Linked DNA regions of Rattus norvegicus. The protein of the gene in region 1 purifies or fractionates together with the protein of each later gene. This does not show direct contact. Links are inferred from orthologs where the notes say so. Each region holds a gene or a part of one and is shown on either strand. Other genes may lie near its edges.

Region 1 (4,172 bases):
CTTAAGCTCCAAAGAACAAATTCAGGAGTTTTTAACATCTGCTATGTCTAAGCACAGTAAGACAGTCATCAGCTTTCCAAAGGTCTTTAGATAGAAGTCTTGTTGTTGAAATGCACACTGCTGAAGCCCACAGTGATCGCAAGTGCAACGCCAAGTCAAAGGTTACTTCTGCTGACCAGATAAGTAGAATGTGTGTCTACTGCCGTCCATTTGTAGTTTCTCTTCTCAGAAGACCACCAAGGGTGACTACAACACTTACATGTTGGCTAAAAGGACAACACAGGTTCACCTGAAGAACTACTGAGGCAGCTGGGCTCTCAGGCATCGAAGCATCACACTGTAACAGGCAGGGGAGTGACTGCTCAGCTGACAGAATTCGGGGCTCTCAAACAGCTCGCAAGGATTTTTAAGTATAATGTAACATGAGACACTTGTGCATTAGTTCCTTTCTCTAGCACACTGGCGAGTGTGATATTCCCTCAGAATGAAAGCCAGGCCTACCAGCAGGCCAGCACAATCACCAGTCTTTCTAGGTTAGCAGAGAAATAAAGAGGCCTTTCAACTTCATCACACAAAATCAAGGAAACTTAAATGTATAATCAACACACACACACATAAAGCTTTTCCAAGTGGTTTACAGCAAGTGTTTAACTCGACACTAAAATAGTCAAAGGCACATGCCACACAGTGGTCAGTACCACAAGCAATTCTGCGGTTTATCAAGTCAATGAAGTACCACTTTTGGATGGCAGAATTTAGCAACATCAATTTCCTGTAAAGGTCTGTGTGACTACATCTGGTTTTCTTAAGCTAAGATTATTAAGGAAAGGTTCTACCACACAGGATGAAAGGCTAATGCCTGATGTCGCATATATGTGTACTGGCTCAACAAAGAACTCTGACTTATAAACCATTAGAGGCCTTTAAATGACGAGTCACAAACAAGGCAACCAAAACCTGCTATCCTCTCCCTCCTCACTCTCCCTGAGGCAAGAGGGCATCGGATCCCATTACAGACGGTTGTGAGCTACCATGTGGTTGCTGGGACTTGAACTCAGGACCTCTGGGAGAGCAGCCAGTGCTCCTAACCCCTGAGTCATCTCTGCAGCCCCAGAGACAACGGTCTTGCTATGCAGTTCACACTGGCTTACAACTCAGAATCCTCCTCCCTCTGGCCCTCGGGTTCCAGATTACAAGTGTCCACAACCACACACTATTTACACAGTATCTTTTCAAAGCTTCTTGGATCTTTAATTGGCAGTTCGAGAAAGGCAACTGTGCCATTAACTTGCCTATGGCATAAATCAAACTTAAGGGCAAGGTAATGAATCAGTGATTTTTCAGCCCTAACAGTCAGTGCTGGGAATGGAAGCGGTGGACAAGTGGTCTACCACTGAAATAAGGTTCAGGATTCCCACCCTTCCCAAGCCACTTTAGAGCATGGCATTTTCAAGTTGCCTAGGTTGGCCTTGAACATTCAATCTTCCTGCCTTCGACTCCCTAGTAGCTGGGAGTAGTCCTGACTAAATATTTAATGCTGGGGATAGATCCCTGGGCCTTCAACCTGGAAAGAACAGGCTCTTTGCGTTAAGCTACACACCCAGCCTACGAACCACCAATCTGATTTTAAATGGCTGGTACACATTTCTCTGGTACACACTCATCTCCACCCACCTACTCCACAACCAGCATTTCTTAGCCCCACACCCACACCACGCTTAATTACCTCAAAGTTCCTCATCCTCCTGGCTCAGTTTCTAGAAACTGACTTATGAACAGCAAACAGAATCTGACTAATACGGCCAAAGAACAAAAGAATCACACGGGCTAGGCACAAGAACGCACAAGAACACACAAGAACACACAAGAACACACGCACACAGGTAGATTTCTGGTGTTGTTAAATCCGAAGGAATGGTAAACAAATCCCGTCTTTGTTTACAAGGTTGTCCAAAGGACCTGTGCCCGTGACCGTTTTGATATGCAAGGCAAACAGGAAGCTCTCACTGATTATGACTGAGTGCAGGGTTGGTTCAGCTACAACCTGTCCCAGCCAATGTACGTTTTTCAGGTTCCAAGAAGGCCTGTCTGGACTACCAAGCACGTCACTAATAAACCCTTTCAGCTGAACATCATGATCAGCACAGTGACCACAAATATCAGTCATGAGAACGATGACGCTGTCTTTTGAGGATATAGACTACCACAGGAGGTTATGAGGCAGCCCGGAGTTCCAGGAATTAGCACCTCATCAAGATGTCAATAACTGAGTATGTGTGTGCACCTCAATAAGGTGTCAATAACCGTGTCTGTATGTTTGAGTGTGTGTACGTTTATGTGTCGGTGTCCTGTTAAGGACACTCTTGGGTGGACTGAGGGGTAGCGTGCATCCCAAAGTTCTATAAGACCACTGCACTCTGAGCATTACTAGCCTTAGCAGTCTTTCTCTAAATACTAGACCGTAACTTCTTCGTAGACCTTCTGCTATGGATCTGAAGGCCTCCTGATCTCCAGAACTGTGGGACACTCCCTCCCGCTCCAGGGACTCTACACTCCCCAGGGGCGGGGGCAGGGATCCAGGCTGCGTACCCTGTTCTCCAGCTCCGCGGGGAACTTGGTCTGGAACTGGCAGCGGGTGCCACTGCTGTAGTCTCGCTGAATGAAGACCTTCCCGGACACCGGCGCCTGCTGCGGCCTCATGGCGAGGACAGGACCCGCCGCTCTGCGAGTTCGGGCAAGACACAGGTCAGATTGCCGGCCTAGAGCCGGCTCTCGGGCCCGCCTGCCCTTCGGAGCCACCCACCGCCCAAAGATGCCCAAGACCTCCCCCTCGCCGATCCCCTTCACTCATGGCTGTAGCTGAGAGCCTCCAGCTACCCAAGCCCAGGACCCGCGCCCCCCGACATCCTGGTTCGGCCCTGTTAACACAAACCCGCCTCCTCAGCCCTCCAGCAGCTGTCGCACCACGTTCGTCGTCACTTACGTCCTGTCGCAAAAAGCCTTGCCTCTCCTAAACTCATTCTGCGCCACTCATTTATACCCCGCCCCCTCCGGCCGTAAAGGATACCTCCGAGGCTGCGCGCTGCGGAGAGGTGCGCGGTAGCTGGGACAGAAGTCTTCCTAGTGTAGGCGGGTGAAGCCCTTCCGGGCGGAAGAAGAATAAGAGGTGGATATGGATATGATCGGTGTATCGGGAGTTCCTGGAAAGACTCCGGGGTTAGAGACTCGTATTCTGTTAGCTGTGGGGAAGTGGTTTCTGATCATAGGAGTGTTTCCTTTCTTGACTATGCGTTCAAGTTTTCCTGTGGGCTACAGCACCTCCCTCCACAAAAACAATCGCCACTCTCCAAATCCCTTAAACCCAGACTGTTCACCTATATTTACAACTACAAAGCGCGCTACCGGGGGTGCGTCTGGACCCTGGTACCCTCTTGTGCGGGAGGGAGGTGAATAATATTCTTGTTCTGAGCCGTTGGCTTTTTTCATCCCAGAGACGTATGTACATCAGCTATACCTGCGTAGGTGACCAGACTGTATCTACAGTTCTCTCATTGGTTCCCTACTTTACTGACCCTGTCTTTGCAAGACATCCAGAAAATCCCTATCCACGCCTGGTGGTGATGTTCTAATACAACTTTTTAATATCACGGATACTTGATCAATTATCACTGACAATTGATTTCTCGGGGTTTTAAAAATAGCATTTAAAAATCCCAGCATCGGGGTTGGGTAGAGGCTGGCCCACTCCCTGGTGATCTCTGAGTTCAAGGCCACCCCAGTTTACTTAAATAGTTCCAGGCCAGCCGGGTTGACATAGTGAGACCCTGTCTCAAAAGTGGATAACTTTGTCCCAGAAAAGGGTGTATCGTAAACCCAGTCACTTAATGTGGACACAGTTTGCTAACAGTTTGCCCTTAAACCATCAGTGCAATCAAGATAATTATCACTGCCTCTAAAACCTTCCTTATTCTTTACAGTCATCCTTTTTAGTCATTCAGCAGACCTCTTTGCCCAGCACTAACCTTTCTGTCACTGGAAATAAATTTGCATTTTCCTTAAATTGAATCAGAGTTTTTGGTCTCGTTCTTATTATATAGATTATTTTGAGATTCCTCTGTTGTGCCATTTGTAATTTCATTTGTTTGACATTCCCCATTTATTCATTCACTTAC
Region 2 (3,081 bases), on another chromosome or scaffold:
CAAAGCCTAGGGAACAAGATTTTGCTACAGTGCCTGAAGACTCTGCTGGGCCTGGTGCTTAGACACAAGCCTACAGTCTCTGCTACTCAGAAGGCTGAAGCAGGAGGATAAATGCTGAGCAGATATACACATGCAAGCCAAACATCCATATACATAACATACAATAAAAATTAAAAAACAATGATAAGGTCAGTGGTGGTAGATAGAACACATCTTTAATCCCAGCACTCAGAAGGCAGAAGCAAGCAAAGTCCTCTGAGTTCAATAACAACCTGGTCTACATAGTCCTTGTTTCTTTGTTTCATTTTGTTTTTCCAGAGAGAGTTTCTCTGTGTGGCCCTCTCTGTCCTGAAACCTTGTAGACCAGGCTGGCCTTGAACTAAGAAGTCCATCTGTCTCTGCCCCCTGGTGACCCACCCACTAAAGGCTTGCGTTTGTTTGCTTGTTTAAAGAGCAAACATCTATACTAGTTTCATAATCTGTGGTGGGCAAATGCATCAAACATACTAAGAGAAACTCTGATTCAGGCAGACTCTCAAAAGATAAAAAAGCAACAAGCCATAAAAGCCTACAGACCCAAGTTCAATTCCCAGAATCCACAGTGGAAGGAAAGAACCGATTCCTGGAGTTGTCCTTTGATCTACCCACTCAGCACCACCCACATATACAACATAAGATTGTAAAAAGTAATTCTCTGTGAAGTCCCAATCACTATCTCTTGCTAACTGGCATCCCCCTTTTCTAGCTATTCAAAGAAAACTGCTCAAGTATCATCCACTGGGTGTTCTCAGCCATAAGTCAACTATTACCTCCCAGCCCTTGCTCATTTCCTTACCCTCATTAGTAGCCAGGCTGAGGTGTGTTCGAAGCCCTGTGTATCGGCTCAGGTCTGGCTTAGGAGGAGGTGGAGGTTCCGCATCCGCAGACTGGCTCTCTGTTATCTCTAGGCTTCCCTTAGACTAATAAATGGAGGGAAATCAGAGAGGGAAACTACATTAAGGTAATATTAAGTCGGCATAGTGTAAATACTGGGACAAGAGTCAGTTTGGGGATAATAAAGGACAAAAAAAAGCTGAGCGTCTGTCATCTGAAAGATGTTACATCTTATGAAGACATGGAAAGTGGCTCAGTGTCTACTGTCATGGAACTTGAAATGTAATGAAGAAAATATCTGTGTTTAAGTGACTTTAACACCAAGATGTACACTCAGTGCAGGTTCCTATCTCTTTGCCAGAGCGTGAAATTCCCTGGGTTTCCCTAGCTTTACTTTCCTAATTTCTCACCTTAGTCCTCCTCAGTTCTCCCTGGATGCCATTATCCATGATCTTCACAGTTATCTGCCCATCTGACACTTCTGGTCGAAGGAAAGGGGGTCTGATTACAATTGTCTTCTCTTTCTTTGGTCTCCCCAAATACCTGGGTAGCAAAAGTGAGAAGGCTTTCACTTACTACTTCATTCAAAATTTCTACTTGCACACCATCTAGGAAGCACGGTGCATACACAATAAGTCATGAGCTGAGGTATATGGCTCAGTGATAAAGAACAAGACCCCAGTTTAATCTTCAGCCAAAAACCAGTCCTATCAGAGTCTATCAGAGTAAAAGTTAGTCCTAGCCTGATTTAATTCAATGAAAACCTTCAGCTTGAGTAGGCCTTTACAGGCAGGTATCTAGCACTCTGCAGGTAAATTGTATACATCCTCAGTTCTCAAATGCAATTAGCCATACCTAAACACTATCAACTGAACTCAAGAATTCACTAAAAGATCAGCATGCCTCTTCCTTGTAGCGCTCACCATTCTGAAAGCAAACCCACCCTAAAAGGCCATTTTCCATTAAAATTCCCTTATTCAGAACAAGCCCAAAGGAGACAAAAGTTTGACCAAGAATGAACACTAGTCCAAGGGTGTATGTAGGTGTACCTGGGTGCTGGAGAACTGCAGAGGACACGGCTAACATTGTTACAACAGCCATTGGTAAAGGGATTCACACCTCCCCGGAATTTTCCTGTAACCTAGGAGGCAGAAAGAACCAGGTAGGTCAGACTATGCCAAAAGGCAAATTATTGTGTAGCCATTCTTTCAGGTAAAAAATTGATGCTGGTGATGATTAAGAACAGATTCTAGAATGAGGGTTCTAAGTCTACCTCATGGAAGCCAATCCTCATATCAGTTTTCTGTATAAAATGGGGTTAACTAAGTACCTCCCCCCCCCGGGGGGGGGGCTGGGGACCGAACCCAGGACCTTGAACCCAGGACCTTGCGCTTCCTAGGTAAGCGCTCTACCACTGAGCCAAATCCCCAACCCCAACTAAGTACTTTTCTGAATATTGACTTAAAATAATCCAAAAATCCACAGATGAGTTCCCTTATATAATGGGTACAGTAACTGCAAATAGCCTATGTACACTAACTCATCTCTCCATCATCGATACCTAATACAGTATGTTATATAAAGAATTATTGTATTATTTACATAACAATGCTAAGAAAAAGGATGTATATATTCAGTGATTTTCCCTCCAAGTCTATACCATCTCTATTTGATTGAACCTAAAGAATCCACAGATAGGCTGACTGCAAGATAAGACTAAGCAATTATGGTTAGCTACTATTATGTGCACAAAAATAATCTTTAAGCAGTACTATGTATTTCCTAAAATCTGTCCCAACTCGTTTCTATAAATTCACAGACTAAATATTTGTTAAGAGAATTAGAACAAGACCATTTTTTAAGGTTACTGTCTTCCTTTCTTGAAGACAGGGTCCAGGTAGATCGATCCTATTGCCTCAGCCTCCTAAGTAAGATTCTAGGTCTGCACTACCATTCCAAGCTTTAATTCTACTTATTGAGGACCTAGGCCTCCTTCACTTTCCCCACTACTGTTAATCTCTACACCATCACACTAAGTATTCGCTAGCATTCTGTTTGGGAAAGTATTAATGTTATTAAGTAAGGACCTAAGACATGTCATGTTTAGTCTCCTGCCAGTTCTCCTGGTACCTGTTCATTGGTTGTGCGTCCCCTGGCCACCAGCACCACATGAAATCCTGTGAGGCCAGCTACAGGGATGAAAAACAA
Region 3 (4,400 bases), on another chromosome or scaffold:
ACATACCACACCAGCCACAGTCCTCAGGAGGTGACGCAAGTCAACCTTCCTAGGTTCCTGGGACAAAAAGCTTCAGTCATTCCTGCCCTTATACATTCTAACAGAAAATGCTAACAGCTATTCCTTCAAATTATACTCAAAATCCCGCTGCTATGCTGGTCTGATTCCAGTGATCTCACATCTGAGTCACAGCCACCTCGTAAGCAATCCCAGATGACAGCCTTGCATTCTGCCTGTGTGTGGACATCAGCCAGGGTGACAAGGTCGGCTCACCTGCGCTCAGTGTCACTAGGTGTTCAAAACGTAACACGCTGCAGGATGTGTCCCACTGCAGCCTTCCCAGTGTGCCTCTGTGACCTCTAAGTAGAACTGGAGATTTTACAATACACTGGTAGCTGTGCTCCTTTTCTTTGCACGGTAAACTATTTGTCATACGTGGTATACCTTTCAACAGATGGTGACTTAAGTGTGTTCTGCTATGATCTGAATATAATGCTTACTCAGTAAGAGGCCAAAAGAAGTAAATATAAACAAAAATAAACTGTAAGCTTCCCAATTTAATACCTGGAAAGTTAAAATCTTTATGTTAATAGTTTTTGAAAAATAAATCTGAGAAACAACTTAGAAATTTTTTTTGTAATTTTTTTAGGTTATTAACCCTTTATAGTTGTGCAAATCTCAGATATGTACAGACTTAAAGGCAGAGTTGGTCAAATTACATTCTCTAAAATACAAGGCAAATGATGGAAACCTACCGTTACCTAGGTTAATTGTTTTTGGTTTTGTTTGCTGTATCAGAGAGACAGGGCTTCTCTGTGTAGCCCTGGCTATCCTGGATCTTGCTCTATAGACCAGGCTGGCCTCGACTCAGAGAGATCTGCCTGCCTCTGCCTTCGAACTGCTGAGCTTAAAGGCTTATGCCACTGCTGCCTGGCTAACATAGCTACTTGTAAGAGGATAATACACTCACACTTTAACTTGATCGTAAATGCCACAAATTACCAGATATTTAAACTCTTCAAACTAATTCCTCACAACATGTGGCATGAATAAAAAAGAAAAAAACAATTTAATGAAAGCATGAGGATTCAAATGGCCATCATGATACAATGATATGAGGTATTGTGATATCATGGAGGACAACGGGAATGCACAGAAGTTGAGGAAAGAAAATGATGGAAGAAAATAGATACAGAGGATGTTCTTAAGGGAAGGAAGCGGTGCACAGACGTGCTTACCCGTCCCTGGACAATCGTTATCAGGTAGGAGACATGAATACCTGTCCTTTCCGGCGGAGCATACCAGTGAGTGTTTTTGGGAATGGTGATACAGCGTCTCCACAATCCCAAGTTGCCGTTGTACCGGAACAGAGCATCGTTGTAGGTCTTCTCATCCGCCTCATCGCCCATGAAATCTTCCCAGGCAATTCTATTCGCATCACTAGAATTCTCTTGAGCAGGACTTTGATACTCATACCAGAAGTCTGTGCCTATGGAGGCGGCCATGTAGATGGTGGAGATAAGACTAAGCACACAGGCAATCACAAAGGCTGTAGCGAAACGGTTATCCATTCTGGCATTCAGACTGCTCTGTTCAAGAGGGAGAGGGAAGAGTTAGACCTCCCGAGCAAATTAGAATGTATTAAAAACAAAAATAATAATAAAAATGAGCCCCCTTTACCCTACTCCCCATCCCTTCTCTTCTCAATGCAAGGCATTTATCGATGTGAAAATTTACAAACAAAAGGGCAAATGTTAAGTTTAAAACAAAACTCATTCTCAGGGAAAGTACTTATTGAATGCTCACATACCCACGATGCTACGGAGACAGAAGTCTTGTTCTCTAGTCTATCACCTGCATACTAAAACAGACAACACTGAAATGGACATACACGTTACAGATACAAACAACACACACGCCCGGGGTCGGCAGTGCAGCGTGCGCACCTGAACTGTAGATTGAATTTTTACGAAAGCCAGAAAAAGGTTATGTGTTTCCGGCTTGGACGAGGAAAAGACAGAAGAAAGGGAGACTAGGGATCCCCCAAGCTTTTTAGTGGAAAGGTTTACCTAAATAAATAAATAAGGCCAAAAGTAAGGAGTTATTTGGAAGTCAGAGTTGAAGGTGTTAACCCAAAGGGGAAAGTTTATGTGTCTGTCACAGCAAAGAGAGCAAAAGCACCATGTTAGGTTATCAATCTCCCTCGATCAAAGCTAAGCCAAGCTTCTTGACATAACCAGATTCTTCACTCCTTACTCTCCCCCCACCCTCCATCCATTACACACTTCTCGACCTCCCAAACCGCAATACTGCTCCCTAAATCCTAAAAGTATAGCACAGGTCCATAAAAACGAAATAATCCCTACTCTCAAACAGAAGTGAGTTAGGCAAAATCTGAACACTCCCTAGGCGTGGACAGGGCTCCACGGCAGTAGTAAATGGCCGCGGTTAAAATGACTCAAGGTGGATCACGCTGAGTCAAACCCTACCAAGTGTGTGTACACTGTGACAGCACAAACCCCTCGCAATGCACCTGAAAACAGGCTTACAAACTGGGTGCAGAGTTCGGAAAATGGGGAGTGACTCCGGAAACACCGGGGCGATTGCAGTCATCAACAATAACTCAGGTAAGTGCGGTGTGCATTTTGATTCTTAAAAATCTCGTCCATCCTGGTGCTCTCGGATGACCTTAAAGGCCGGGTTCTGGAAGCTGCGCCTAGCGCAGTCACCCTGGGCCGCACAGCAGGGCCTGGCACCGGCAGGCTGAGGCCGGCAGGGCTGGGCGGGTGCCCTGGGTACCCGAGCCCAGCCAGCCCCAGCCCCTTGGCCCGCAGCCCCGCCCCTCCCCGCCCCGCCAGCCGCTCCAGCCTCCCGGCCCGGCCACGCCACGGAGGAGCCCCCTCCCCACGCCGCGACCCGTGCTGGCTCGCGACCCCGCGCACTCACCGCCCATCCTCTCACTCCACCGGCTTCGCCCTCCAGCTCCGACCACAGCAACCTACTCTCCCCGCGCCTCCTCTGACGCACTTCCCTGCAGAGCCCGCCCCCTCCATAACTCCCGCGCCTCCGCCTCCGCCTCCACCCTAGGCCGGGCCAAAGCGGCCCTGAGCCGAGGGGCCTTGTGGGACTTGTAGGAACGCCGGTGAAAAAGCTGCTAGAGCCAGAGGAGAGCATGCCCGACGACGCGCGGGGAATTGTGGGGAATGTAGTTCTCTCCGAAGAAAGAACTCTGGAGATCAGTGAGCAAAGCAGAGGTCTAAGCTGAGGGATTGTTAAACCTCAGAAAAGGAGGGACCAAGCTCCAGAAAGTGATGGGGGAGGATCTTTGGCATCTATAGTCAAAGGCTTTGATTTATGTAGCCCAGATCTAACTTAGAGTCTTGTGTTTTCCCTACGATAATACTCTACCTCTAAATATTAGTTCTACTGAGTCGATGAACTTTATTTAAGAGTAGAGTTGACTCTACTCTTCAAATATCAACCCCCACTCCCACTTCCCTATATCTTCCCTCCCATTTGAGCAAAGTGTACTTCTGTTTTGTTTAAATGTAACTAAAGATCTAACCCAGCATATAACTAAATTAGCGTTATAACCTAATAGGATATAATTACGTTATTCTTGTTTGAAGAAATCTGTTATTTGCTCTCTCTACTGTAATAAAGTTTCCAGTTTAAATGTTTCCGTTGGTTTATTTAAAACTTGTAAATCCAAAGGGTACTAGATGTCAAAAATGTGACTTTAAAGTGTGAGTGTAATATGAAATGGAATTTAGAGAACATTATTTCCAACAGAAAAAGTTGTGGGCAGCCTTGGAAACAGACGGCTGTGCGACGTGGAAGTAATTGAATGATTCTAAACCCTCAGATACTTCACAGGAATTTCTAAACAAGTGGCAAAGATGTTTTTAGCTATAAATCATTTGCCTTTTGGTTCATGATTCTAGCTCACCATCACAGACTCTGTCTGGAAATGGACTTCTGACAGAGCCCACTATCCACATGGCATGACTAGATTTTTCTTTATAACATCAAATGAAAAAAGCAATTGGCCTCAGGTGTCATCTTGAAAGCTTGATGGTCGTGCACAGGAGAACAGTGACTCCACAGTAAGACTTGTGAATACATTTTTGCAGCAAATGTCTTCATCCACGGACCTGCATGACACGTCTGATTCCTGAAGTAACATGGGCAACCAATGCTCGAAAAGGGGAACAATTTAAGAAAAAAAAAAGAAACAGCCTAAGTTTCTAGACACTTAGGCCCATGGAGATGAGCTAACTTGGCAAATGTGAACACCAGTTTTATGACATTGGACAATTACTTGTTTTCAATATATGGATTTTTTAAAATAGCATCTATAAATAAGAAGATGTAAAAACTGTCAGGCAGGGACCTGAGGA

The links.
Region 2: the proteins of Golga7 (region 1) and Zdhhc5 purify together in Homo sapiens (co-immunoprecipitation; 3 studies listed by BioGRID and IntAct, with this or other methods). This does not show direct contact. The link is inferred for Rattus norvegicus from reciprocal best matches to the Homo sapiens genes GOLGA7 and ZDHHC5.
Region 3: the proteins of Golga7 (region 1) and Cldnd1 purify together in Homo sapiens (affinity purification with mass spectrometry; 3 studies listed by BioGRID and IntAct, counting the BioPlex papers as one, with this or other methods). This does not show direct contact. The link is inferred for Rattus norvegicus from reciprocal best matches to the Homo sapiens genes GOLGA7 and CLDND1.

What each region holds. Positions count from the first base shown.
Region 1 is NC_086034.1:75,468,654-75,472,825, reverse strand, and holds the start of Golga7 (golgin subfamily A member 7), read right to left. Parts: upstream 2,918-4,172; 5' UTR 2,701-2,917; coding exon 2,590-2,700; intron 1-2,589. UniProt on the Homo sapiens protein: May be involved in protein transport from Golgi to cell surface. The ZDHHC9-GOLGA7 complex is a palmitoyltransferase specific for HRAS and NRAS.
Region 2 is NC_086021.1:90,181,897-90,184,977, forward strand, and holds part of Zdhhc5 (palmitoyltransferase ZDHHC5), read right to left. Parts: coding exon 3,004-3,081; intron 2,015-3,003; coding exon 1,923-2,014; intron 1,417-1,922; coding exon 1,284-1,416; intron 960-1,283; coding exon 836-959; intron 1-835. UniProt on the Homo sapiens protein: Palmitoyltransferase that catalyzes the addition of palmitate onto various protein substrates such as CTNND2, CD36, GSDMD, NLRP3, NOD1, NOD2, STAT3 and S1PR1 thus plays a role in various biological processes including cell adhesion, inflammation, fatty acid uptake, bacterial sensing or cardiac functions.
Region 3 is NC_086029.1:55,355,535-55,359,934, forward strand, and holds the start of Cldnd1 (claudin domain-containing protein 1), read right to left. Parts: upstream 2,947-4,400; intron 2,403-2,946; exon of another isoform or gene 2,367-2,402; intron 1,862-2,366; coding exon of another isoform or gene 1,811-1,861; intron 1,590-1,810; coding exon of another isoform or gene 1,572-1,589; coding exon 1,280-1,571; intron 1-1,279. UniProt on the Homo sapiens protein: Plays a role in negatively regulating the permeability of cells to small molecules.